3 linked regions of the Notamacropus eugenii genome follow. The protein of the gene in region 3 purifies or fractionates together with the protein of the main gene of each other region. This does not show direct contact. Links are inferred from orthologs where the notes say so. Each region holds a gene or a part of one and is shown on either strand. Other genes may lie near its edges. The genes, in order: RFC5, HLTF and RPA1.

Region 1 (9,664 bases), on a different chromosome or scaffold from region 3:
GCTGTAGCTACATCCCTGAAACCTAACAGAATGCCTGCTCTTACAGCATTTAATAAATGAATGTTGACTGATCAACTGATTGGAAATACAAATACAAAATTGAAGGAGTTCTTATCCATGGAGTTTATATTCTATGAGTGGGAGGCAACACGTATAGGGGAGTGGTAGCCAAGGAAGGATGTTTTGGCTTGGGAAAACACAGACATGATGGGTATGTTGGACAATAGGACAGTTGGTTGACATGTTTGATGCACCTTTTTCAAAGTAATGGCAATGTTGACCCCAGATCAACAGCTGGGAATGGGTTTTATGGTGAGTCAAATGGCAAGATGACCAGAATGAAGAATGGCCAGATCTAGAACCGGCCAGAGTGGACTCTCACCAGTCTGGTTCACAGAGGCTTCAGAGCAAGAGATTCAGAGTAGAATGACCCAGATCCTTTAAGGCACGGTCTCTAGTCAGAGCAATAGCAAGTAGAGGGTAGATGGAAAGATGGTTATCATCCTTGTAACTCTGCCAGGAAAGGAAACTCAACAAGCACTTATTAAGTATCTACTATACATAAGACATTGTGTTAAGCACTAGGGATGAAAAGCCACAAAACACCCCCCTACCCTCCAACAGTTTACATTCTGCTAGAGAATGCAATACTCATCATTTTAAAATACAAGATAATTTGAGGGAGAAAAGAACTTTAACCACTAAGGTAATCAGAAAAAGTTTAATAGAGGAGATGGCACCTAAGCGGAACTTCAAAGGAAAGTAAAAAATTCTAAGAGGCAGAAGTGAGGAGGGCATGCATTTGAAAGATGGGGAATGGGTTGTGCAAAATTGTGGAGATGGGAGCTGGAGAGTCAAGTTTAGGAAACAGCAAGATGTCCAGATTGGCTCTTCCCATTAAGACTGTGAACTGTTTGAAAGAAGGGACTGGTTTTATTTATCTATCCACTCATTTGTTTGTTCATTCACTTATCTATTTATTTAACTAAACATCTATCCAATCATTCATCCATTTGTTTCTCTGTCTTTATATCCTCAGCACTTAGCATAGCATCTGACACATAGTAGGACTTTAAAAAATGCTAGCTGACTTGACCTGAATTAAGCTCATGTGAACAAGGGTAATATAAAATCAGCCAGGAAAAATGAGCAGCAGCTAAGGAGTTTGAGTTCTAACCTACAGGGAATAGGATTCATTGGAATCTCTCGGGCATAGTGGTGACATGGTCTTATTGATGATACAGGAATATTCATTTGAGAACTGTGTGGATGATGTATTGAAGTTGATTATAACATCATAAATCTAAAGCTGGAAAGACCTTTATCTAGTCATCCTCTAGTCTAACTGCATTATAACACAGATAAGGAAACTGAGGACCAGAAAGTTGTGACTTACCAGAGGTCACACACATATCAAGTAGCAGAAGCTTCAGTTAGAAAGCAGGTCCTTAGACTTCAAATCCAGCAATTATTCCACTCCATCAAGGAGACCAAAGTTGGGGGAAAGGTAGAGCAGGGAGACAGTAGTCATTGAAAAAGTTCAAGCAAGAGGTGACCTCCTCCTAGGTCACCTTCTGGTTTCCTTTAAGGCTCAATTTAAATCCTGCTTTCTGCAGGAAACCTTTCTTAAACTATTCATTTCTAGAGTCTTCCATCTGGGATGGAATCTCAGAAATACCAGATTCCACCCCAGATAGAATCCTTCCAAATTATAATACATATGAGGCAGCTAGGTGGTACAGTGGATAGAACCTTGGATGAGGAGTCAGGAAGATCTGAGTTCCTATCTTTCCTCAGAAATTTACAAACCGTGTGGCCCTGGGCAAGTCATTTAACCTCTGTCTGCCTCAGTTTCTTCATCTGTAAAATGAAGATGATAATAGCACCTACTGAGGATAAAATGAAACGTGTATAAAGTGGTATAGAAATACTAATTGTTATTAATAAATATATGGTATGTGCAATTTTTTGTACATTGTCTCTCCCTTTAGAAGGTGAGGTCCTTGAGGGCAAGGCCCTGTGTTCCTGTTTTTGCCTTTCTTTGTACCTCCAATGCTTAACACAGAGCCTGGCTCTTATAAGACTCTGATAAATGCTTGTGTATTGGACTGACTTACTGGTGGCTATAAAAATAGTAAAAAAGGAGACAATGCAAGAGGTATTGGGGAGGTAAAAATCAAGAAGACTTAATTACTAGATATAGGGGAAGCAAACATAGAACAACCAAGCATCCTCTCTCAAAAAAAAAAATAGAATGCTAGCTCTTTGAAAGCAAAACTCTTTCCTTTCTTGTCTTGATATCTCCAAGACTTAGCACAGTGCCTGGCACAGAGCAGTTACGACTTGTTGGATGAATAAATGAATGAAAGAGTGAAGGAAGGAATAAATGAATGAGTGAATGATTAATGAATAAAAGCACTAATAATGGAAGGAGGGAATGAATAAATGAAAGAATAAAGATTTTTAAAGCACCCACTATGTGCTAGGTACATTTGTAAATATGACTTCCTCTGATCCTCACAACTCTATGAGGTGGGTGCTGTCATTATCCCCATATATCCCCATATCCTCAGGAAGGGAAGGAGGAGGGAAGGGAGGGAGGGAGAGAGGGAAAAGGGAAGGGAGAAAGGGAGGGAGGGGGAGAGAGAGAGAGAGAGAGAGAGAGAGAGAAGGAAGGAAGGAAGGGAGGAGGGAAGGGAGGGAGGGAGGAGGGAAGGAGGAAGAGAGGGAGGGAGGAGGGAAGGGAGGGAGGGAGGAGGGAAGGGAGGGAGGGAGAGAGGAGGAGAGAGAGAGAGAGGGAGAGAAAGAGAGAGAGAGAGAGAGAGAGAGAGAGAGAGAGAGAGAGAGAGAAGGAAGGAAGGGAGGAGGGAAGGAGGAAGAGAGGGAGGGAGGAGGGAAGGAGGAAGGGAGGAGGGAAGGAGGAAGGGAGGAGGGAAGGGAGGAAGGGAGGAGGGAAGGAGGAAGAGAGGGAGGGAGGAGGGAAGGAGGAAGGGAGGAGGGAAGGAGGAAGGGAGGAGGGAAGGAGGAAGGGAGGAAGGAAGGCAGACACGTGGACTCCTTTCATGCGGCGTCCCCCTGATGCATCCCTGCTGCTCCCTGCTTTTCCTGCACCCTCACCCTCTTTGCCGGACCTCGCTCTCCCTTCCTACCACAGACTCTCCGCCCGAGCCTCTCCGGACCTGGCCACGCAGCAGGACCAGATGCTCTGTCCCCAGCCCCTGCCTCTGACAGGCCCGGCCTGACTGCGCCTGCGCACGACGCGAGCCTCGCGGTTACCTAGCAACCCACTCCCAGCCTTAGCAACCGAAATGGGCGGGGCGAACTTCCCGAAGGGGTGTCTGGGAAGAAAAATAGCAGGGGCCGGGCGGGCTCGGTGGCCTGGTCAAGTCTCGCGAGAGCAGAGGCGGCGCATGCGCGCGCGCGCGAGCTGTGGCGGGAAAGGAGATGCAGGCCGCGCTTTAGCCGATTTCCCGCTGCGCTTAGGTCTGTGGGTCCGCTCAGGGTCAGCGCCGCCATGGAGGCCCCGGCCGTCCGGCAGCAGCCACAGCAGCAGCCTGCGGCCAAAAGCAGGAACCTGCCCTGGTAGGGGGCCGCGTCCGGGGCGGGGCGGGGCAGGGATCCCGCAGCCTGGAGACAGACCCGGGCGTGGGACTGCGCCTAGGTGGGCAAGGGGCTGGGTTCAGAACCCAGGGCGATTCCAGAGGACGGTTGAGGAAACCGAGGCCCGGGAAGGGACACGTAGGGGCTTAGAGTTAGAGGTGGGGGCGATCCCAGAGAGCACCGAGTGAGGTCAGGGCCGAGAACAGTGAAAGTGACGGAGGGTCATCGGTTTAGGGCTCGACGCTCTTGGCCCCTCCCCCTCCTTGACAGTCTCCACTGTAGGTTTTCAGGGAACCCCCCTCTCTGGGCCTCCTCCTTATCTGACTGGTCCTTCTCAGCCTCGGACTTGGCTGGATCTTCCTTCAGATCACACCCTCTGTCCAGGACCCTCTTTATGTTCTCCTTCCGCACCACTTCACTTGGTGACCTCATCAGCTCCCCTGGATTTAATTATCATTTCTATGCTGATGATTCTCAAATCTGCTTTTCCTGCCCCAAACGCTCTACTGACCTCCAGTCTCATATATCCAACTGCTTCTCAAGCATCTGGAACTGGTTGTCTGGCAGATATCTTAAACTCAGTATGTCCAAAACAGAACTCCTTATTTTCTCCTCATTACCTGCTACCTTCCCTGTGACCTTCAAGGGTGCTACCATTCTCCCAGTCCTGCAGACCCACAACCTAGGAGTCATCCTGGTCTCCTCACTATCACCCCCCGGATCCAGTTTGGTACCATGGCCTGTCAGTTTCACCTCTGCAGCATCTCTTGTCCATTTCACTTTTGCAACATCTCTGGTAGTTTCACCACTGCAGCATCTGTCCATTTCACCTTTGTAACATCTCTGGTCATTTTCACCTCCAGCATCTTTCAAATATGCCCTCTTCTGTATCACTCTATCTCCTGCTGTCACTCTGGTGGCGACCCTCATCAGCTCATATCTGGACTGTTGTAATAGCCTGCTAGTGGATCTACCTGTCTCCAGTCCTAGACTCTTCCTGCCTTTCTAGTCTCCTTTCACCTTACTGCCCTTTACCTACATACTCAGATCCAGTGGCACTCACCCATCATAGAAAGATACTACCATCTCCTGACTGGGTATTTTCCTTTTCCATAAAATGAAGGAGTTAGGTTATTCCAAATCCACTAAAAGTAAAATTGTAAATCAAGATGTTGTGGTTCTATCTCACACCCAGAGATTGGCCAAGATGATAGCATCGTCAGTGTTGGAGGGTCTGCTGAAAGACAGAGGCACTAATAAGAAACAATAGGAAGAATTTAGAGGAGGTTGGAAAGATGTAGGTGTTCTTGTGAGTAAAGTAAGCAGAATCAAGAAAGTTCAATGACTGCATGTCCCACCTACTCCCGAGTCTAGTCAGCCTTACCTCCACTGCATGTCCTGTCTCTGCTTCCACCCCCAACAACTCTCACCTAGACATGTGCTGAAGCTTCCTCATTCCCTACCCTCAACCCCATTTCAGATTCCTCACAGTCAGCCCACATTGCCCCCAGATGCCAATGTGATCTTCCCAAAGCCTCTATCTCACAGTGTCATGCTTTTGCTCGTAGGGCTCCAGGGGGGCCCTTTTGCCTCCAAAATCCAATGCCAACTTCTTAGATTAGCACTTAAAGCTCTTCACAGCCTCTCTTTTCAGACTTGGTATACTGCTTTTCCCCTTTATGCAATCCAGTCATACTGACCTAATTAATGTCCTTCACACATGATTTTCCATCCCCCAACCTTTGAACTAGTTGTACCCAAGCCTACAGTGCATTCCTTCACCTCCATCCCTCAGAATCCCCAGCCTCCTCCATAACTCAGCCAGGTGGGCTCTCCTGCTACAGACAGGGTCTTTCTTGATCCCCCACAACTTCTAGTGCTTCCCCCTTTCATCCCCAAAATTACCTTGTGTTTATTTTATGTAATTTTGTATCAGTTTATGTGTACACATTGTCTCCTGTGCCCTGAGGTAAGCTCTTTGGGGGCATGAACTGCTTCTGTCTTTGCCATTTTTGTCTCTTCTGCTAGATTTAGTTCCTGGCATTTAACAAGCTCTTAATGAATGCACAAAATAAACAGAACTTCTCCCGCCCCCAAAAAAGCTGAATACTTTTTAGTTTATAATGATTAAGTGTTACCTTGGAGAAGAGTTGAGAAAATATTTCTCCCTCCCTTCTTTGCAGAGGTGGAAGAGTGGTATGGAATGGTACATATACAAGGCTGCATATGCACGATAAAAATTGTAAAATTCCATTCTCTAATCATAACTTATCTCCCTAAGCCTCTTCTTCATATTTCCCATGACCCCCACAGTGCACTTTCCCAGGCCGTCACCCCATTCCAGCTCCACTTCCCTTCCCAATTTTGATCTTTAGTTAGTCAGTTCAGTTACAAGCCTTCCTCTGCTCTTGAATCTCTTGCACTTTTGTCCTGTTAGAAGAAAAGGAGGATTTATTAAGCACTTGGCTGTGTGTCAGGTATATTACAAATATTATCTCATTCAATCCTTACAACAACCCTGGATCAGTAGGTATTGTTGTAATCTCCGTTTTACAATAAAACTTGTCCAGGATCAGACCACTAGTGTCTGAGGTAAGGTTTGAATTCAGGTAGGTCTTCCTGACCCCAGTCTCACCACTCTGTCCACTGAGCCCTAGCTGCCTCTGTTGCTGCCCCTATCTTGCCAAACAGTAACCCTGGATCTTTCCTGTTCTCTGCCTCCTGACTTCCCACTGGCATCCTGCTGAACAAACCAGGACAGAGTCACATCCAGCCATGTTGGGTAAATGTATGTTATCTAATCCCAATGGTATCCTCCCTCCTGCAACTAGACTATCATTTTACTCCCAGTCCACAGTCAGTTCTCTCTCTCACTCTTCAGAGTGGGTTTTACAAAGCTTTTCTGTCCTCAGAACTCTAATATTGCCTCCTCCCTCAACCCTCACACCTCCTACTTTACTGAAAGAAGCCATTTACTCCCTAGAAGAAGGAGCTCCCTCTTCTCTCCATCTCAGAATCCTTTAATATCCTCCCTCATTCTCTTCTTTAATTCCTCCTTTCCTTCCCCTCCCCTCTATAAAAGGGGAATGGGGTGTATGGGGGTATTCAGGGAAGACTAGCCCTCTGAGTGTCCATCCATCTCAACTCTCACCTGTGACTCCAAGATGCTGTAGCATACACAGAGCCACACCCTGGTAAAACTGTCTAAGCAGGTGGGCTGCATCAGGTTGAGGATAACTGATAGGCCTCAAACCCATCGGTGAGTTAGGGGGGTGTCTACCTCAAGCAGGTGAAGACTTTCCCCAGCAGGATGGGTAATTGCCTGCCACTGGACTTCAATGACTCTGGAAGAGAGCGAGGGTGAGGACTTTGTGCAGCTCTGCCTCACTGAAATCCAGTTTGCCCATGAGCCAAGACATCACCTGTCACGTCACTGGTGCTCTTGGAAAATAACAACATAAAAGAGAATCTGCTTCCTCCTTAGGTGACCCGTTCTCCTTTGGGATAGCTCTGATTCTTCAAAGTCTTTGAATCAAACCTCAATCTGCCTTTTTTGCAGTTTTCCCCTCTGCTGCCAGTTCTGCCCTGTGGGGCTGGGCACAAAGATCCTTTTCCCCAGGAGGGTCCTTGAGATACTTAGACACAGGCTGCTGTGTCCCCACTCCATCTTCTCTGAGCTAAATATCCTGATTCCTCCAACAACAAACCAGACCCAAAGCAGGAGTTCACAGTCCACACAGAGAAGGAATAACCCTGTAACTAAAGGCTCAAAAGGAATCCTAGGCTCAAGAGAAAAGTTGAGGAGAGGAGAATACAGTTCTTTAACACCAAATACTTTATCCCAACTTGTGACCTCCTTTCAGTAATTTATCTCCTATCTGTCAGTGATAGTAAGACTGTGGGTCACATGGCCACTTGGGCTGTGGCTGTAGCCTCTGTTTTCAGTCTCCTTTCTCTGATCCATTCCTCACACAGCTGACAAAACAATCTTCCTGAAGAATGCATCTGGCTGTTGTCTTCTCTTGCTCTTGCCTATAGGGTAAAGTAATAACACTTGACTTGGAATTCAAGTTCCTACATCAAGGGATATGTTCTGTGAAGTTTGGATTCAGCCAAACGGCCGCACTTGAGCACCTAGAGGGCCACATGTGTCCTCAGGACCTAGGGTTCCCCACCCCTGCCCTCCATAGTCTGCTCCAGCCTGCCTTCACAAAATTCCAGCCAACTTGACGTATTTGTAGTTTGCCAGACATGGCTCTCCAAGTACTATTTGTAGACTTCAGTCCCTCCTCCCCTCTGTGTTCTTAGCTTACTGCGAGGCCCAGCTCAGGTGCTCATCCACCCCCCAACCACCTCTCAGGAAGCCTTTCATGACTTTATTTTTCCTATGGGCATGTCCGTAACTCTGCATGACCTTTTCCCTCCCATGTGATAGTCCAGATGCTTCAGCACAGTGATCTTGCCCATCAGCTGTGAGCTCCATATGGACGAGGAGGAGTTCTTTTCTTGGTAGCCCCAGCACAGTGCATTGCACATAGGAACTTAATGAATATTTGTTATATTGAATTCAGTTTGAGGGAATTAGTCATTGTGCTTCATCAAGAAAGATCTGTGTACCTAGAGCCAGAAGGGACCTCAGAAACCATCTAGTCTAAACTCCTTATTGTACACATGAGAAAATGGACCTAGAGAGGATAAGCCCAAAGTCACAAGGGTAGTTGTGCCACAGGTGGGGTTTGGAATCCATTGTTAGTACTTATTGAACCACATTGGCCCTGGCCTGTCTCATCTTTGGGAACAAACAGATATGGGTAAAATCCTCTGCATGCACAGCCAGAGCCTCACAGGTAGTAGTACATGTTCTACAAATAATTTAGAATGCATGAGGATTCTTAGTGGGAACACAGTAGATTTTAAACTCTTGCTTATACTAAAGTCTTTTTGTCAATATTTTATATTGTAATATGTATGGAAATTCTTATTTCAGGGTTGAAAAGTATCGACCACAGACACTGAATGACCTAATCTCTCATCAGGATATCCTGAGCACCAGTAAGTGTCATGTGTTTCAGAATCATAGATTTAGAGGTAATTAATAACCCTTGTCCTCCCATTTGAAGGACCTGAATGTCCTACTGTTGTCTTTCCAATGGTGGCATAACAGTATTTTTAATGTAATTTAATTTGTCATCTTAGAATATGCCCTAAGATTTCCATATCCTGGGAATGGGCTAGAGAAGCTCCCTACATCAGGAGGTAGATGTGCCAAATTTGATGTTCCCTCTCTTCTCCATCTTCAGTCCAAAAATTTATCAGTGAAGATCGACTGCCACATCTGCTTCTCTATGGCCCCCCTGGGACAGGAAAGACATCCACCATCTTGGCCTGTGCCAAACAACTCTACAAAAACAAAGAGTTCAACTCTATGGTCTTGGAGGTGAGTTCTCCCTTACTGTAGAGTTCCACATTTACATTTGAGTCTGTAACTCCGTGAAGTGGGTCTCCGACTGTCATTAATCCTATTTTATAGAAGAAGCAGTGGGGGCTCAGAGTTTAAAAGGCTTGGTTACAAAACCTAGAAAGGGTCTAAGTTAGTATTTGAACCCAGGTCTTTTTGACTCTTAAGTACAGTAAGACTTCGGACACTATCTTCTATGTGGCTCTTGGTATGGCTATGGAATTAACCAAGATATTCAATTTATCTTCAGGTCTTCAGTAACACAATAGCTTGTTTTATTTTTCTTTGAAAAGTAAGCCACATAAAGGGGCAGCTAGGTGGTGCAGTGGATAGAGCACTGGCCTTGGAGTCAGGAGGACTCCAAGTTCAAATCCAGCCTCAGATACTTAATAGTGGGGTGACCCTGGGCAAGTCACTTAATGCCTCCAAAAAAAAGAAAGATAAGTAATCCACCTGGGCCCAATTAATAGCCTGAGATCAAATTTGTTATGAGGCATTTCCAGGTTTACTTCTGACAGTGGTATCATATGCGTGTAAGTTAGTCCTAGTTAATAGAACACCCTTCTGACTGGACTTGGCCACATTGTTTGTCAACTTCTCCCTGGA
Region 2 (9,664 bases), on a different chromosome or scaffold from region 3:
CACCATCATCACCATACATAGAAAGATGTAGGGGTGTTTAGCCTTATTGAAGAGAAGAGTTGGAGCAGAAATGATCATTTTAAAAAACTCTGTGAGGATTTTCATGTGTTAGAGGAATTAAGACCTTTTTCTTCATGACCCCAGTGGGTAGAGCTCTATGTCATTGGTTGAAGCTACAGAGGCAAAAAACAGCCTTAAAACCTTCCCTAATAGTGAGAACTATTTAAAAGTATCCTGAATTGTGGGTGTCACTCTCCCCATCACCCCAACCCAGAAGTCTTCAAGCAAAGGCTGGATGACCACTTCTTGGGCACGTTGGGGCAGTTGGGTGGTGCAGTAGATAGAAGCCTGGACCTGAAGTGTGGGAGATGAGTTAATGTCCAGCCTCAGACACTTACTACTTGTATGACTCTGGCTAAGTCATTTAGCCTCTGTTTGCCTTAGTTTCCTCATCTGTAAAATGAGAATAATAGCAGCACTTACCTCACAGGGTTGTCATGAGGGTCAAGTGAGATAATGTTTGTAAAGTGCTTTGAAAACCTAAGAGTCTACACTGTTCACACAAAGACTAGCAGATATTATATTGTAGAGAGTATTCTCATTCATGCACAGGTTAGACTAGGCAGGGCTTCCTAGACTTTTTCCACTTCTGACCCCATCTTGTGTTTCACCAGCATTCGATGGCGTTCGTGGTCTAAGGGCACTCAAAGTGCAAAGTGCACATGCTCTGTGTGTGTGTGTGTGTGTGTGTGTGTGTGTGTGTGTGTGTGTGTGTGTGTGTATTCAAAACCAAGGCTGCAGTGAAGCTGCAGATATAAGTGCTACCAGGAAACACCTTGGATCCATTGCATGTTTGATTTTAAATTAATTTTTGGTTGGTGCACTTTCAGAAATCTTTTACTGTTGCTAGATTTTTCATGCTCTCATAAGGGATCACGACCCACAGTTTGAAATGCTAGACTAGATGACATCTGATATGACCCTATCAATTTTAATCAATTAATAAATATTTATCATTTTATTATGTATGATTCCAGGATTCTGTATGTAATGATTGTTATTCTTATTTTTGAAAGGAAAATTTTTACTCCAATATAAGGATAATCAGGAACTGGAGAAAATTGGAAGTAGGTGTTTCAGAGCAGTTTCAGATCTGTTTCATGGGAACTCCTGCCAGGGCGTTAGAATGAGGGTGGGTGTTGGGTAATGGAATCAAACAAAAACTAACAATTTTTGAGAAAGAAGCATGGTCTTGGTCCTATGGTAGAGTTGTGAAAGGTTACTGAGTCTCATCCTGGGGCCTCCAAGGGATTTTTTTTGGGAGCAGGGTTTTTGGAACAAATCTGGAAATACAAAATGTGTAAATGATTTCCATTGATAAGGAAATTCTATGGGAATCCACCCAAATAGAAGGCAATCTGGGAATGGGAAAGGGGACTCTGGAAAATGGTAACCAGGCTTAGGGCAAAAATAGCAATTCCAAATTCCTGCCTTAGACTTCAGACACAGTTACTGATTATGATGATAATATGCCAACATTCTTTTAGTGATACGAGGGTGACTCCTCTGTGAAAATTAATTTATATGTATACAAATTCACTGTACAGTTTACATAGTTATAATTTATATGTGTATGTTAAATATTAACATATTGCATATCACATAAAATTTATATTAATAAATTACATATTATATACTTATATATGTATATATAAGTATGTGACATGACATCATTATATAAGTATATAAATTATATATTCAATCAAATAAAATTATGATAAATTAAATCATATAATTGACACATATACATACATATATATGTGTACATACATACCTATATACTGTAATACATATATAACATTTGGAGAATATGGGAAATGTTACAATATGTATATGTGTATGACATATGTATATGTATATATACAGACATGTATATTGAGAACTTGAGGACTATATCTTAACAGTTACATGGATGAGAGATAGGTATCTGTCCATTCTGTATAGGTAAATAATGTTGGTGAAAAATGAAGATTCTCTTCATTTCTTGATCCACTCATATATATATATATACACATATGTATGTATATATACACATGTATGTATATATACACATACACGCACATATATGTATATGTACACACTCACATATACACACATATGAAGGAGTACCTTGGTACAGGTGAATTTTAAGAAGAATAGCGTTAAATCAGGAGAGGGAAACATTGATGATGCCTGGTTTGAGGGGAGAATAATCTGCTTTTCCTACCACATGCCACACAAAGGCACTTAGCCCGGGCTCACTTGCTGGAGAGCCCTGATGACGACATCTGGCTAGGGAAACTGACACGATAAAGTCTGGATCCTCTGAGCTCGTGCCGCGGGCCGTCAGTTCAATCGGACCCCATTCAGAGTCTGGATCGAAACCATCTCTGTGCCCATCAAACACTTTATCTCCAGAGCTTGGTCAAACGGACTTCCAAAACATGGTCAAAAGGCAGACAGATTACAAACAGACTGGGGGGGAGGGGAGAAATGGGGAGAGCCTTTGGGACCCAAAATTTTGTGAAAATGAATGTTAAAAGTTAAATAAATTAATTAAAAAAATTACAAACAGACTGGGGGGAGCCTTAGGGTCATAGGGAAACTCAAGGCACGGTTGCCCGTAGTGTTTCTTGTAAAACTGGCTTCTGAACCCGGTGTTCATCTGGTCCCAGAGGAGTTACATCTGGCTTCAGTCCCAAGCTTTACTTCTTGGGCTGTCTTCACCCCAAAATAAAACGGGGAAGCCCCTCCAAGCGGATTCAGGAGCCGCGTCGAGAGCGGGCTGTGAAGACCGAGCACCGCGTTCCAAGGCGGTTCCGGGGTGATTGTTACCCAGAGCGCCCAGGTTCCCTGCTGTGCAGGGATGCCCCGGGGCACTGAGGCAGGTGCCAGCCGGGCGTGGGAACCCCCTCCCGCAAGTGCGCGGCTGGAGAAAAATGCCCCCGGGGGCACGGTCGTGCCTCCGGCAATGCACGCTCTTGGCAACTTTGTGTTTTTCAGTTTATTTTTTCCCTAAAGAATTCTTTTTTAGAAACAAATCACAAGGTCAAAGAACGAACCGGCCCGTCCAAGTTCTGATTAAGTGTCCAAGAGGGGCAGAAGGAGACCTAGTTTCCAGGGCTACTCCCGAAGGCGCAGCCCCGGAAACCTCGGGGTCCCGGGCCACGGGGCAGGAGCGTGCGGGGGGCAGCGGTCCCCAGGCGACCCCGGGGTTTCGCGAGAGCTCAGACTGCGGGAAGCCGACGGGGGCGGGAGGTTCCCTGCTGGGAAGGCAGCTGAGCCCAGGTGCGGGGCGGGGAGCGAGGAGCCCTCCCCCGGCTCGGCCCTCCCCGCCGGCCCCCGGGCGGGAGGGACTGCGCCGCGCGCCAACCCAGGGGGCGGGGAAAAGCCCGGATGAAACCAGCCGCGCGGGGCCCGGCCCACTCATCGCTTTGAATTCCAGCGCGGGGGCGGGCGCCGCCCTCCTCTTCCGCGCGCTGATTGGTCGAGGCCGGGGCGAGCCTGCCCTCGATTGGGGCGTGCCGCTGTCCGTCTCCTCAGATCGCGGGGCTGGGTTTGTTGCGGGAAGGAGACGGCGGCGTCGTTCGACGACGACGGGCGGAGGAAGGGACGCGACGTCGCCGCCGCCGCCGAGGCAGGAGCTGAGGCAGAGGTGGGGTGAGGGGAGGTGCGGAGCGCAGAGGCGGCCAGAGCTTCGGCTTCGCATCCCTCTCGCGGCGCGCTCGCTGCTTTCTCCTCGCTTTTCCCCAGCGGCGCGGCCCGGACCCGAGCGGCGGAGGCGGCGAGGCGAGGCGGGCCCGGGGGGCCTGAGAGCGGCGGGGTCCCGGACCCCGCCTTCGTGCCCAGCGCCATGTCCTGGATGTTCAGGAGGTGAACGGGCTGTGGGGGGGGGGCGGGTAACGGTTGTCCCCCGATCCCCAAATCGGCCCCCTCCGGGAAGTCCCCGCCGTGCGCGCGCCGGGTGGGAGGGGCCCCATCCCCGCCCCGACCCTCAGCGAGGGGTCCCCGTGTCCGAGACCTTGGCCCGGGCCGCTGGGGGAGGGGAAGGGGCGAGGGAGGAGGAGGGCACCGGGCATCGCCGCCCCTCACCTGTCCCGCTGCGGGAGTCCCGCTTAAAGGGGTCCGAAAACCCCCAAACACGCACAGCCCCGACCTGGAAAGAGACCGTGCGGTGCGGCGAGCTTGACCGGAGCGCTCTGTTTACCTCCCTTTAGGACGGACGCGCCCCAGGTGTTCTTTAAAGTGTGAGTTCCCCTTACTGCGTTTTAAACTTGCGGCCCCGGAGCCCACGCGCGGAGCTCCCGGGGGCCCGACCCCGCGCGCCGCTGCGGGGCCCCGGGCTTTTGTCTGGATGGTTCGGAAAGGAAACGCCGCTCGGGATGCGGGGCCGGTGGTTTTCCTCGGACGTAGACTCTCAAGTTTTCCCCGGGCGGGGGCTCCCCGTCTGCGTGCCCGAGCTGCCCCACAGTGTTCGGGCACTTGGGGTGCCCTGAAGCGTGAAGTGGGGGGGAGGGGGCGTTTGTATGTTGGAGAGGCAATTTGGGGTTCTGGTGAGGAGTCTGAATCTTACCCGTCCTCGGACCCTTCATGGTGCTTGTGTACTGTATATGTATACGTATGTAACATGTAGCGTGTGTGTAGTGTGTACATACATGTGTGGTATGGTGTGTGTGTATAGTGGGTAGTGTGTATGTAGTCTAGAATGTGTGTATATACGTATGTAGTACGGTGTGTGTATGTGTAGTAGGTAGTGTGTGTATAAATAGTACATGGCATGTATATGTGGTATGTGGTGTATGTATAGTATGTAGTGTGTGTATATACGTATGTAGTACGGTGTGTGTATGTGTAGTATGTAGTGTGTATAGTGGGTAGTGTGTATGTAGTCTAGAATGTGTGTATATACGTATGTAGTACGGTGTGTGTATGTGTAGTAGGTAGTGTGTGTATAAATAGTACATGGCATGTATATGTGGTATGTGGTGTATGTATAGTATGTAGTGTGTGTATATACGTATGTAGTACGGTGTGTGTATGTGTAGTAGGTAGTGTGTATAGTGGGTAGTGTGTACATAGTGTGTGTATATACATATGTAGTACGGTGTGTGTATGTATAGTAGGTAGTGTGTGTATAAATAGTACCTGGCATGTATATGTACTATGTGGTGTATGTAGTATATAGTGTGTGTATGTATAGTATGTAGTGTGTGTATAAATAGTATATGGTGTGTGTATAAATAGTACATAGCATGTATATATAGCATATGGTGGGTGTACAGTATATAGTGTGTGTACATATATATATGTTTACACACTATGGGTACGTACACATAAATGTATAACAAGATTGTGGCCCCCCTGGAACTAATGAACCCTTTAGCAGTGGAGATAAACACATTTAAAATGCAGATTCACTGTACAAACACTATTGGCTTTTCGGCCTGGAATGGAGGCCTTAGGGAAGGTTCTAGCAAGGTGCTCTGGGACTAACAAGAGATCTTTTCCTGGGGCTTGGATCTAGGTGTCTTCATGGTGGGGTGGGAGGGGTTGTCAGTCAAGAAACATTTGGTGCCTACTCTGCCAGGCAGAGACAGAAAGAGGTGGCACTTGAGTTGGGCTTTGAAAGCTGGGAGAGATGTTCTAGGATGTAGGGAATTGTGAGAGAGAAGTTTGAAAGAGTTGGTGGAGTCCCTACTGGGCAGGAATAGGGAATCTGGACTTTATTTTATAGGAAAGAGGAGGAGTATGAATGCTAGACTAAGGAATTTGAACTTCATTCAGTAAAAAGGAGAAGCTATTGAAAGTTTTTGAAATAATGTACACAAACCACTTAGCAAACCTGAAAGCACTATAGAAAGTGCTTTTAACTATTATTTTCTGAGTACAGTATGTATGATAAAACAGACTTGTACTTTAGGAAGATAAATTTTGCTTTGAGTCTGGGTGGATTGTAGAGAGAAGAGACTGTGAAAGGTGCTGGGAACTTGAACTAGAATGGTCACAGTGGAAATGGAAAAGAGGGGATGCATTTTATTGATTTATTGTAAAAACTTGTTGCCTGGATATATGTGAGTTGAAGCAGAGAGAGGCAAAAGGTGACTGAGCAGCCTGACCAAATAGTGATGATGCCATTATCATGGAGGAATTGAGGAATTCTGAGCTGCTAGGAGAGAGGAAAGTTACTAGACTAATTTGGCCAGAGTAAGGTAGAAATGCTGGCGTTGCATCCGTCCAAATGCAGGTGTCAGGCAGGAGTGGGAAATGTGGAACAGGATCTGGGGAGAGGTTGGAAGCCATTGGCACAGAGTAGCAATTGAAGCACTGAAAGGAAGGTGGAAAGAGAGCTAAAGAAAAAATATTAGGATTTTGCTGCTTCCATATCCGTCAGTGGAAATTTTGCATAGTTTTTGTACTGATTTTTGAAATAGCATAACATATTAAAGTAAGTTTTACAAAGATTGGTGTTTCCAGACAGATTTTGAAGAATAGTTTGGATAAGTGGTTCTATGTGCAAAAAACTGAAAGAACCTCCACATTATTCTTTCATTTTTAGTATCTGTTGATTAAGAGAATACATGATAAACTATTGTGATTTAAATGTTTTTAAGTGAAATCCTGATTTATTATAGTACTGTAGCATTATGAGGCATAAGTGACAGAGTGGATAGACACCTAGACCTGGAGTCAGGAAGACCTGAGTTCAAATTCAGTCTCAGACATTTACCGTCCTGCGTGACCCTGGGCAAGTCATTTAACCCCTGTTTGCTTCCATTTCCTCATCTGTAAAATGGGGATAATAGTAGTACCTACCTCCCAGGATGGTTGTTGTAAGGATCAAATGAGATGATTTTAAGGGGCTTAGCGTGGTGCAGAGTAGGTACTATATAAATTTTAACTATTATTAGAATTCAGTCTGTAGGTTTGTTTAACTTCTACTGAATCATTAAACAGAACTGGTTAGTCTTGAATCGTTGACCAAAAACTGTATCCTCAAAATCCAAATCCAGCACCAGCATTGTATAAGGAATTGGGGGGAGGGGGGGCGGTTTGTGTGTGTGTGTGTGTGTGTGTGTGTGTGTAGAATATAAACAGCAATTTTTTTAATGGCAAGAGTTTGCTAGAATCTTAGCACAAATCCATTGCAGGTGTGCTTGAACTTTTCTGTGGACCTAATTGTTAGTTTGATAAAGCCTTTTGACCCCTTTTCAAAATAATGTTTTTAAATACATGGGATTACAATGAAAACAATTACATTGAAATACAGTTAGCAAAGTTTTCAAATTAACAGATCCAGGTTAAGTACTTGTAATTAAGTACTTAAGTACTTTTTAAATACATGGGATTACAAATGAAAACAATTACATTGAAATACAGTTAGCAAAGTTTTCAAATTAACAGATCCAGGTTAAGTACTCTTTCATGACTTAGTCATTAATGATGTTTATGTTTTCTGATTTATATATTTAAATGTACTGATTGATATGTTTGGAGGGAAGACTGGTAGCAAGCATATGCTACGTAAATACAGTAAAACGCTTAGGAAATGACTCTTAATTGTAAATCACTTTTGGAGAGGAGAATGGCTATTTGATAAAATTTCGTGCCATGTGAACATCAATTTGATATTTCTAAAATTGCTGTTACCTATTGAAATAATCATACTCTCATATAGTAGAGGTAAGCTATTTTATAATGGCATTATTTTTAATCCCCTCATTAAGATTTTGACATACAGGTAAAGTTACAATATAAAGCATATATTTTGAATTAAAAGAAAGTTTTTTGTAAATAGGTTGTCAGCCACATGGAAAGGAACATGTGAAGTCATTTATTCTGCAGGACTTTACATTTCATAGTTGGGGTGACAGATGTATTATAAAGATAATCTGTGGTCATGGGGAAAGAATTTGGGTAGGTCATGTTTCAGGAATAGGGGAAACGAGAGGAACTATACCATGGGACCCTAAAATGAAGGTCAAGAGGTATTGGACTTGGGTGGGAGGAGCCATTGGTCCAGTTATTTTGGACCAAGTTTAGAGATGGTGACTTTTAAGGGATTGTTGATTGGAATATTTGGTGTGTACGTACTTGATGTGAGCCAGAAGAGGGTGGTATATAAAAAAGATTCACTGAAACCAAATGGGCAAAATTCTCAAAAATCTGTTCACAAGGATATAGAAATAGTACTTTATAAAACAGTACACTATTAAAGTTATATTCCTTAAAATTGGATTTTACCTGAGTGTTTAGAAGAAAATAATTGGAACCTGTTTTAGGTATTCAGAATACGTTACATTAAAATTGCAGGATATATAAAATCTATAAATACTTTACTTAATTCCAGGAAGAAGAGATACTAAATTTTCTGAACTAATGGTTCCTAAAAGTAGTTCAGTCAAGGGACAATGAGAGGTCCTAGATGGACCATGTCACTTAAAAGGGGAAAGAGGGAGAAACCTTGGAGCAGGAAAGGACCTTATTGATCCCAGTTCCTTTGATGCCAAATTTGGTTTGTTTGTTTTTTTTCCTTTTTCTCCAGTTTTACCATGCTGCCTGTCAACCCCTCATTTTATAGATTGAGGACAAAAGTGATGGGACTTGGTCAAGGTCATTCAGTTAATGGTAGAACCAAAGACAAGTATTATGACTCCCAGATCACTACCATACAACCTTCCTTATATATCATCTTTACAATATTGAGTAACAATTTGCTTATATTTAATAAAAAAAGACAACTTCATGCAAAGTAAGACTTGACTTCCCGTCCTCCCCCCACCCCCCTTGTTTTAAATAGGGATCCTCTTTGGAAATATTTGCAGTCATTCCAATATGGAGTCCATGGAAGTTTTTCACACTGCACCTATTCCAATTTATTTTCTCCTTTTGAGCCTGAAGAGGTCCCTCCAGAGGACTTGATAGCTAGTGATGAAGATCTAGATTCAGTTTTATTTGGAACTTTGCGAGGCCATGTGGTTGGATTACGATATTACACAGGAGTGGTAAGTAGAGTATGATGGTTCACTTGGTTTAGTAGTCTGGATATTAATTCTACAGTTGAAATATTCTCAAAGGAAATAATGTTTAGCAAATGCAATTTTCTGTGGTAGGGTTTACCTTAAATTAATTACAAGGTAGTTAATGGTTTGGTAAGAAGGAGAAAATGATGTTTTCAAAAAATGCTTATTACATGCTAAATAGTCAGTAGTATCTTAAAAGATCTATCATAATATTTTTGTATTGTATCCTTTACTTTTTTGATATCTCTTCCCTTCTTTTTCTGCCCCATTAAAAGTGTTTCTAGCTCTGCTTTTGTGGTCTTTTCACTATCTTTCTGTGCCCTGTGCCTCTTTAATCCATGCATTTTCTCTGAATCTTTGCTTTTGGACCTTATCTACCTCTACAAGAGGTACTGGTTTCCTCTGTTCCATATATGAGTTTCTGTCTTTTGTTACTGGTGTACCATATGTAACGTGTTTCTTTAAGCTCTTGCTTCTCCTCAATCATGTAGTCTAATTTTGGCACTCAATAAGCTACCAACAAAGTAGACAGTTTTTGTTTTTTAACTGAAGTATTGTATGTTTTTATAATGGCCACTTTGCAAAAAAGAAAGCAGAAAAGGCAG
Region 3 (9,664 bases):
GACTCCAGGTCCACGCTCTATCCAATGAACCATCTGACTCACTGATACCTTTCTTTAATACCCCAAGGATACAGGACTTTGGTATGCAGCTTCCCTATCCCTCTGTAGCTGTAAGGCAGCCTTGCAAAAGAGAAAGTGGCTGAATCCAGGTTCAGGAAGTCCATTGTTCCAGTCTTGCCTCTGTTGACTAAGAATGTGGCTGTGGAGAAATCGCTTTAAGTCCTGGAGCCTCAGTTTCCTCATCTGGAAAATGGGCATAACCCTCCCTGTAATATTCTGCTTCATCAGGCTGTTGTGAGGTAGTGGGGTCCTGCCCCTTCAAAGCACCACACTGTCAGTCATTATCAGGACAACACCATTCTGAGTTGTTGTAGGGGAGCACAAATCACTCAGCAGCTCACTTGGTGACAAGCCTCTCTGACCTGAATGGGGCTGGTCCTCTGCTGGCTGCTGGCCCAGTCACACTCAATGTCTGAGAAGCCTTAGCTGCAACCACACTGTGACGGGACACCACAGTGGGTGCCTCAGGGCAGGCTTCCTGCCCTTCTGTCACTTACATCCCCCTCTTTCCAAGGAAGATAGAAGAGGGAATGAATTCCTAGAGCACAGCTAACTGGTACAACTGCTGAGGTTTCTGGCTGCTGCTTGGCTAGTCCAACAGCTCATCATTCATTCAGCAAGTACCTACTACGTGGCACATAGTAGGTGCTTAATGAATGCTTATTGACTGGGGATCCAAAGACAAAAGCAAAACAATCTGCCCTCAGAGAGCTTAAAGTCTTTAAGGAGAGGGGATTACAAAGTACAGGCAGCTTCATAAAGAAGAGCACATAAAGTGCTTAGAGGCAGGAGGGGGTACTAGCAGCTGGGGGAGTTAGCAGGAAGGAAACTGGGCATTCTAACAAGTATGGCAAGGAGGACAGTGAAAGGATGTCAGGTCAAAGGCAATCACAAATAGAGTTTGGCAGAAATGAAGAGCTTGAGGAGGGGAATAACATGTCACAACCTGCCCCTGCAGTCCACAGAATCACAAAATCTCAGAATGGAAAAGGGCCGAATGCCACTGAGCCGGACTCCCCTACTCAGGATAGCCAGTGGGCATCCAACCCCACTTTGGCCTAGCTCTCGTTGCCTGTTCTGTCGTGTCTGACTCTTCGTGACTCCATTTGGGGTTTTCTTGGTTTATCATTTCCTTCTCCAGCTCATTTTACAGATGAGGAAACTGAGGCAAATAAGGGGAAGTGACTTGCCCAGGGTCACACAGACAGTGTTTGAGGCCTGATTTGAGCTTAGGTCTTTGTGATTTCAGGCCCAGTGCTCTAGCCACTGCACCAACTTAGCTGTTTTTCCTTTTATTAACTCTAAATCTGTATCTCTGCAACTTATACTGCTTAATTCTGCCTTCTAGGGACAAGCATCCCCATTCTAGTCTTCCACATGACTGCCCTTAACAGATGTTTGAAGGCAGCCAGCACATCCCTCTGGAGTGCTCTCTATTCCAGGCTGAGCAGCCCCAGTTCCTTTGATTCTTGTATGGCCTAGTCTCTGGGGAAACTGTTCATGGAGGGTGAAGCTCCCAGGAAAAAAAAAAAATCACCCCAACCCTGAATGTTCCCTCCTTATCTCTGCCTCCTACAAGCCGTATCCTCCTTTAAGACAGAGCTCAGGCACTGCTTCCTATTTGAAGTGTTTTGGTTCCCTGAAATGCTAGTACCCTCTCTCCTAAACTACCTTGTATTTAATTTTTACACACATATATTTATTTATTTTTATTTGTACCATATATCTCTTTAGATGTACTTGTCTCTCCATTGGATTTTAAGGTCATGGTGAGAAGGGAGTGTTTTATTCAGCCAACTAATATACTCAAGTTGGTCCAGATTAATCTGGATAGGGAACCTGGTGAAGTGGTCCCATTATTCACATCTGTACTGCACATTTCTACTGGGTGGGAACAATGACCATAGCTAACACAATCCTTACTCCAAACAGGGTCAATGTGAATACATACGACTGTTTCACAAGATTCATTATTCACATGAATCAGAACCTAGCTGTATTAAGTGCGTGCTATTGGCCAGGCACTATGCTAAGTGTTAGGGATACAAAGGTAGGCAAAAAAAAGCCAGTCCCTGCCCTGTGGAGATTCACAATCTAATGTAAATAACTGTACAAACAAGATATAGATGGGATAAATTGGAGACAATCAACAGAGGGCAAGCACTAGCATTACTGGGGACTGGGAAGGACTTTGTGTTGAGGGTGAGCCTTGGGGGAACCAGGTACAAGGGGTAGACATAGATAGCAAAAGGCTAACTTGGGCTCAGAGTATGGAAAAATTTCCCAGCAGTCAGAGCCCAGAGACTGGGCTGCCTTCAGGTTCCCTCTCAAAGGATGACTTCAATCAAAGGCTGTATTGCCGCCCATCAGGTAAGCTGTAGAGTCAAGCTTCTTAACTCAGCGTCTGTGAATACATTTTAAAAATTTTTGGATAGCTGCACTTCAGTGCAAGTGGTTTTCTTTGTAATCCCATGTGCTTGATCTTATACATTTAAAGCCAGAATTCTTAGAAGGGCTCCATAGGCCTCACCAGATAGACTGCTGCCCAAGGAGGCCAGGACCCACCAAAGGGGAAGCTCCCTGGTTGATGAGGGGACTCCTTTCATGTAATAGGTCCAACTAGGTGGTCATTGGGGCCCTTTGGAGCTCCCAAATTGAGGCTCAGTGAGTTATGTTTCGAGAGGTTCATCACCAGGATGGCAAAGGCATGTTGAATTTTTCAGCTGTAGCAATTCTCACAGACTTATCTACTCAGTTAAGTCACTAAGGGGCTGCAATCTCCAGAAGTGGAGGAGAAAAACCACATCAATGAAAGCGTAATCCTTGAACAACTGAAAAATCCCTAATGTAAATCTTTGCTTTCTTCCAATTGCTTGGTTCTAATATTAGCTCTTCTCCTAAACTGCTGATGTTGGGCCCAAGGATGGCTGAAATCCCTAAGACCACAATCACTCTACCCTCAAAGGAATGTGGCTCTGGCATCTCTTTTCAGAGGACTACCCTTCCCTAATTCTGCCACCTTTCACAGGTTGTCCCCCCCATACCTGCCATCATTCCCTCATCTCTACCTCTTCTGATCCCTAGATTCCTTCAAGGTTCAGCCAAAGGGCCTCCACCTAGATGACATCTCTCTCCAAACAATTTTGCTTTACTTTGCATGTACTTATATAAGCAATAATTGCACACGCCATAAAATGTAAGCTCCCGAGGCCAGGGACTTTCTGTCACTGCTCCTGGGTTTCCCTGCCTCAAGTTTCTCCCTACTCCATCCACCCTCCATTCAGACACTAAAGTGATCTTCCTTAGGGCAGCTAGGTGGTACAGTGGATAGAACACCAGTGCAGAAATCAGGAAGGCCTGAGTTCAAATGTCACCTCAGACACTTGACACTCATTAGCTGTGTGACCTTGGGCAAGTCACTTAACCCCAGTGGCCTCATCCTGGGTCATCTCCAGTCATCCTGATGAATATCTGGTCACTGGATTCAGATGGCTCTGGAGGAGAAGTGAGGCTGGTGACCTGCACAGCCCTCCCTCACTCAAAACAAAGTCAAGTGCAAGTCATGTCATCATTTCTCTGATGGACAAACACACACATGGCCCTCAAAGTGATTTTCCTAAAACACAGGCCATGTCTGGCCATGTCACCCCCCCCTACTCACTGGCTTCCTGAGACGTCCAGGAACAAATACAAAACACTGTGGCATTCAGAATCCTTCCTACCTTGTCCTTACCCACCTTTCCAGTCTTCTTACACCTTATTCCCCAATACATACTCTTTGATTTGGGGACCTTGGCCTCCCAGCTGATGCACAAACAAGATACTCCATGTCCCGAATTGTCTCTGCCCTCCCCCATGCCTGGAATGCTCTCCCTCCTCTGCTGTGACTACTGATCTCCCTGGCTTCCTTCAAGTCCCCAACAAAAGCCCAGACCAGCCCCTCCCCTCTTTTAATTATTTTCTATTTATCCAGTACCTTCGAACAAGGTTGTTCGCAGGCTCTCTTAAGTTCCTTGAGTGCAGGGACTGCTCTTTGGCCTCTCTTTGTATCCTGGCACACAGTAGGTGCTTAATAAACGTTTACTGCCTGTTTCCAGCACGTAGCTCTTAACTTCACAGATACTTGCGGACTGACCGCTTGTGATCCCCCCCTTCCTTAGGCTGCCGCTGAATTCTAGGACCAGAGGCTAAGGATGTTAATAGGGGCCCTCGGGTCGGGGCGCATCACACCCGTGGGATGGATTCTCCCCCAAAACAGAAAAAAGTGCAGAGAGGTGTCTTCACCCCACCGCGGGCTCTGGGCCCGGGGTCCGGCCTCTCACGTTTCCTGGCTGGGTGACCCGGGGCAAGTCGCTGAACCGCCGCCTGCCTCAGTTTCCCCGTCGGTAAAGCGGGGATCCTAACAACACCTCCCTCCCGGGGTTGTTGTGAGGACCCAGTGAGATCGTGCTGTAAAGCGCGCAGCCCCCAGCAGGCATGTAGTAGGCGCTCAATAAATGCTTCCTCCCTTCCCCTTTACAGCCAGAGGCTCACCTGGACAAGTCGCGGGCAGGGCAGCGCAGACCTCCCGGCTGGCCTCCCAGTCGCGCGTGGCTGCTCCCCGGCGTGGGCCTGGCTCGTTCGGCTGGAGTCACACGCCAGCCTGCGCTCCCGCCCCCCGGACGCTCAGAAATCCGGCCGGACGCCGGTGGGCGGGGCTTCACATCCTCCCCGCGCTCGGGGAGCCTCGGCCAATGGGCTGCCCGTTCGACTCTCTGAGCCCGCCCCCTACACCGCCCGCTTCCGGAGCGCGAGAGCGGCGCGCGCCAGGGCCGGGGCCGGGCCAATCAGATTTGAGCGCGCGGGAGAGGACCCCTTCCCCCCCCCCCCCCACCATCCCGGATTCCCGCTGACTCGGCGGACGCCGCTCGAACACACACCCGGGAACCTTGGGAGCGAGCTACCGGATCCCGGGCGGCCACGCAGCGGACAGCCATGAGCTGGCGCCTGAGCGAGGGGGCCATTGAGGTGAGGGGAGGTGAGGGGGGCGCGGAGCCGGCGGCTGCGGTGGCGGGACCCCGAGGAGGCGCAGGCCACGGGAGGGGGGTGGAGTCGGCGTTGGGGGGATCCCGCGCGCTCCTGGGGTGACTCTAGAAGAGGAGGCCTGTGCTGTGGGGAAGCGGGGCTCCCCGGATGTGGTGAAGACCCCGAGGGTCGGGGATGTCCGGAGGGCCCTCGGAAGTGTGGGGCCGTGTGTGGGGGGGGCGCAGAATCTGGTGACCCCCCCAGAGCCTCCCAGCCAGTGGTTTGTGGGAGCCCCCCGGGAAGGGGGAGCCCCGCACCCCCGAGGAGACGTCGAGCTGCCCCGGGGGCCAAGCCCGGGCATGCCCCCGGGGGGTGTCTAAGGCCGAGCACCCCGCCCTGGCCTCGGTCTTGGGGTTCGGGAGGCTTCCGCGGAAGGCTAAGCCCGACCCCCGCGTAATCCCTTTTATCAAGCAAACTCCTTTGTTTAGCGTTTAAAGTTCTTTCTAGTCCGGCCCCTTCCTACTTTTCCTGCCTCAGGCTTGACTTCCCCACTCGGCCCCCCTTCCCATTCCCACACTGGGGCCCACTTGGCTTTCCTCAAACGCAGCCCCCCCCTTGTGCCCCCGACATGCCCTGCCTGCCCATTTTCATCTCGTAGTTTTCCTGGATTCTTTTATTAAAGACTCAAATTTCCACTTATGCTGGCCTTTCTGGCCCACCCACCTGCTTAGCGTCCCCCCCTCAGATAATGTCGGATAACCTTCGTCAGGCTGTGGGTGCGAGGCAGGTACTTATCCCTTCTCTCCCCCCCACCCTCCTCTGTATTTATCTTGTTACCTACCTAGCTATTTACCTGTTGACTCCGCCTTTACAAGGGAAGCTCCTTCTGGTCTGGGGCCGTTTTTGTTTTGTTTTTTTATCTTCAGCACTTAGCATAACGCCTTGCCACATATTAAACCTTTAATAAATGCTTGTTGAGCATATATCAGATTGCATGCTGTCTTGGGGAAGGTTGAGGGAGGGGGACAAAGTTTAAAGTTGAAAAGCTGAATGTTGTAAACTCAAAATAAATAAATTTAAAAAAATAAATGCTTGTTGACTGAGTTCACTATTCTAGTTGTTTTCCTCTGGATGAATACTCTCAAATTCATTAAGATCCTATCTAAAATGTGACTCCAAGACTCTTTATTAGCCAGATATAGTCTGAACTAGGCAGAGTTCTGTGTTGAGTATTGTGTTTCTCTTGATGCAGTCTAAGATGGTGTGTCATCTTTTTTTAAAAGCTCATACCACACTGTTGATGCATATCAAGCTTACAGTCAATTCAATTTAACTTTTTTCACATGACCTGGTGCCTGTTGGTGCTTCTTTCCCCCATCTTGTACTTGTCAAGTTGATCTTTTAAAACTCAACGGTAAGACGTCATTCATCCCTATTAAATTGCATCTTATTTGATTCAGTAGAATGTTTATCCATTCCCTCCCAGCTCTATGTCATCTGTAGATTTGATGAGCATGTCCTTCTGTGCCTTTTCTTGTGATTGATAAGCACGTTCACAGGGTTCTCTGGGACACTTCATGGAGTACTTGACATTGAGCCATTAATGACTAGTCTTTGGGCTCACTCATTCAACCTATTTCCAGTTCACCCCACCTTAAGAGAATCTGTCATCCACATCTCTTCTGCAAGAAGAGCTTAACAGACTTCATCAAATGTTTTAGGAAAAAGAAGGCAAAAAAAAAAAAGGACTTACCATTAGTTGGCAGCACGTGTTCTTGAGGAAGCCATTGTGGTTTTTCACCATCACTTCTTTTTCTGGCTCTTCACTAACCATGGTGATTTTCATGGATCAGAGGTAAAGAGCTGGAAGGGGTCTTTGTAGAGTTATGTCTAGGCATCCTATTCTTTTCCTGAAAGCTTTGAAATTTGCTCTCCCACAATTCAAGGGGATATGACACACTAGACCATTTAGCTTCTTGTCTATCACAAATTCTAAGCTAGAATGGTCATTTACATTCCGGAAACAAGTTTTCTTCATTGATTCCTTTGCTTTTTTTGAAGGAAGAAGTTATTAAGGTAGGTTAAGTAATTTCTAGTTGCTTTGTTTTGGGCAAAGATAATTGGAGTTCCTCATCATAACCATATTATGCCTCAGAGCCAGGCTTGTGATTTCCTTATGTTTATCACTGTAAATAGCTATAGTCTGCTCTGTCTTTCTATGTAACTGTAGTCTATTTCTATCCCCGTTAATCTTCAAATGCCTGTTCTCCATCATACTTTTGTCCCTCTGGTTCCTGGATTTCCTCAAATTGGGTTATGTCTTTTGTGACCTCATCAACTTGCAAGAGTTTAATTCTCTTTGCCCTATGATTCCCAGATTTATATTTCTAGCCCCAGTTTTTCTCTTGGTCTCCATTTCCATATCACCAGTTGCCTGGTGGTGTACCTTAGCTGGATATTGAATTGGCATCTAAAATTCTGTATGTCCCAAAGAGAGTTTGTTTTCCCCCTCAAATCCATGCCAGTGTCTGTTTTTGCTTTTCTTTTTTTCCAAGTTTGAAGAAAAGTTAAAAAAAAAAAAAAGACTAGGGCTCTATCTTGTTTAGGCTGGAAGGACAAGAGCCACTTATGGGCCTGATCCCATTCTGATCAGCATGAGAGCTTTGACCTGCTCCATTTCTGACTTGGGCTGATTTGCTCCTTCTGAGACAACCTGGTGGCTCCTCACTCCTGAAGCTCCCTGTTTGCTGGGTTTTGTGCAGATACCTCAACTTAATGCATTGTAAGCCCAGGAGGTTCTTGCTAGGTCCACTCTGTCATGACCCTCCTGTCAAAGGCACCACCTGGCCTAGTCACTCAGGTTTGCAACTTTTCTCAACTCCTCACTTATCACATGTGTTCAGTGAGTTGCTTGATTTCCTTGTTTTTACCTTCATGACATTTCTCAAATTTTTTTCTGCTCATTCAGCTACCAGGCCCCCAATTACCTCATTTTTTTTTTTAATTTTGTAATGTTTAACAATCACTGCCATACAATTGTGATTTTATCCCCCCCACCTACCCCCCACTCCCCCCCTCCCTCCCCACGACTGCATACAATTCTGTATAGATTCTACATATACTTTCCTATTGAGTATATTTTCACTATAGTCATGCTATGTAGTCAGACTAAGATAAATGAAAGAAATCGTATAACAAATCAGAACATGATACACAAACACATACACATACACAAACATGATCTGCTACAATATGTGAGTGACTTCCATATTTCTCTTTCTGAGTGTGGCAGGCATTTTGCCTTGAGATCCTCCATTGGGATTTTTTTTTTTTTTTTTGGTAAGAAGTTCTTGTGTTATTACAAAAATCTAAGTCTACCAGAAAAAACTCTCACACACTGTGGTCGTTGCTGTGCATAAAGTTCTCCTGGTTCTGCTCCTTTCACTCAGCATCAGGTCATATAAGTCCTTCCAGGCCTCTCTGAAGTCTTCTTGTTCATCATTTCTTATGGCACAATAGTACTCCATTACATTCATATACCATAATTTATTCAGCCATTCCCCAATTGATGGACATCCCCTTGACTTCCAGTTTTTGGCAACTACATAGAGTGCTGCTATAAATATTTTTGTACATGTGGGACCCTTTCCCATTTTTATGATCTCTTGGGGATACAGTCCTAGTAGCGATATTGCTGGGTCAAAGGGTATGCACATTTTTGTAGCCCTTTGGGCATAGTTCCAAATTGCTCTCCAGAATGGTTGGATGCGCTCGCAGCTCCACCAGCAATGAATTAGTGTTCCAACTTTCCCACATCCTCTCCAGCATTTATCATTTTCTTGTTCTGTCATGTTTGCCAATCTTATAGGTGTGATGTGGTACCTCAGAGTTGTTTTGATTTGCATCTCTCTAACCAATAGTGATTTAGAGCATTTTTTCATATGATTATAGATAGCCTTAACCTCTTCCTCTGAAAATTGCCTGTTCATATCCTTTGACCATTTATCAATTGGGGAATGACTTGTATGATTATACATTTGGATCAGTTCTCTATATATTCTAGAAATGAGGCCTTTATCCCAATTACCTCTTAATTGCAACCTAAGAATCATCTTGGATGTGCCATTATCTCCTTCCCCCCTTCCCCCCAATTCAGGCTGTTGCTGGTTTTACCTTTGCACATCTTTGCAGTAGCTCTTGAATAGACCTCCTTCTCACTGACTTAGCCGTCAGCCATTGCGCAGGCTCTCATCAGTTCTCACCTTACTGCAGTGGCCTCCTGGTGGGTCTGCCGGAGTCAAATCTCTCCTCAGTCCATCCTCCATTCACCCACTATGGTGATTTTCCTAAAGTATAGGTATGATCATGTCACCTTCCTACTCAAAAAACTATGGTGGCTTCCTATGAATTCCAGAATCAAATACAAGATGTTCCATTTGGCCTTCAAAGCACCTGCCTACCTTTCTAGCCTTCTTATATCTTACTCCCTGCTATCCACTCTATGAGCTAATGATACTGGCCTCCTGGCTGTTCCACAAACGAGACTCTTGTAATAGCTTCCCAGTTAGTCTCCCTGCTTCAAGTCTTTCCACTCCACTTC

The links.
Region 1: the proteins of RPA1 (region 3) and RFC5 purify together in Homo sapiens (affinity purification with mass spectrometry; 3 studies listed by BioGRID and IntAct, with this or other methods). This does not show direct contact. The link is inferred for Notamacropus eugenii from reciprocal best matches to the Homo sapiens genes RPA1 and RFC5.
Region 2: the proteins of RPA1 (region 3) and HLTF purify together in Homo sapiens (affinity purification with mass spectrometry, with the first as the bait; 4 studies listed by BioGRID). This does not show direct contact. The link is inferred for Notamacropus eugenii from reciprocal best matches to the Homo sapiens genes RPA1 and HLTF.

Annotation. Positions count from the first base shown.
Region 1 is NC_092875.1:27,512,923-27,522,586, reverse strand, and holds the start of RFC5 (replication factor C subunit 5), read left to right. Parts: upstream 1-3,356; 5' UTR 3,357-3,514; coding exon 3,515-3,582; intron 3,583-8,587; coding exon 8,588-8,652; intron 8,653-8,900; coding exon 8,901-9,037; intron 9,038-9,664. UniProt on the Homo sapiens protein: Subunit of the replication factor C (RFC) complex which acts during elongation of primed DNA templates by DNA polymerases delta and epsilon, and is necessary for ATP-dependent loading of proliferating cell nuclear antigen (PCNA) onto primed DNA.
Region 2 is NC_092877.1:337,867,564-337,877,227, reverse strand, and holds the start of HLTF (helicase-like transcription factor), read left to right. Parts: upstream 1-3,655; 5' UTR 3,656-3,892; coding exon 3,893-3,912; intron 3,913-4,256; coding exon 4,257-4,286; intron 4,287-8,836; coding exon 8,837-9,041; intron 9,042-9,664. UniProt on the Homo sapiens protein: Has both helicase and E3 ubiquitin ligase activities. Possesses intrinsic ATP-dependent nucleosome-remodeling activity; This activity may be required for transcriptional activation or repression of specific target promoters.
Region 3 is NC_092873.1:39,858,382-39,868,045, forward strand, and holds the start of RPA1 (replication protein A 70 kDa DNA-binding subunit), read left to right. Parts: upstream 1-4,851; 5' UTR 4,852-5,034; coding exon 5,035-5,067; intron 5,068-9,664. UniProt on the Homo sapiens protein: As part of the heterotrimeric replication protein A complex (RPA/RP-A), binds and stabilizes single-stranded DNA intermediates that form during DNA replication or upon DNA stress.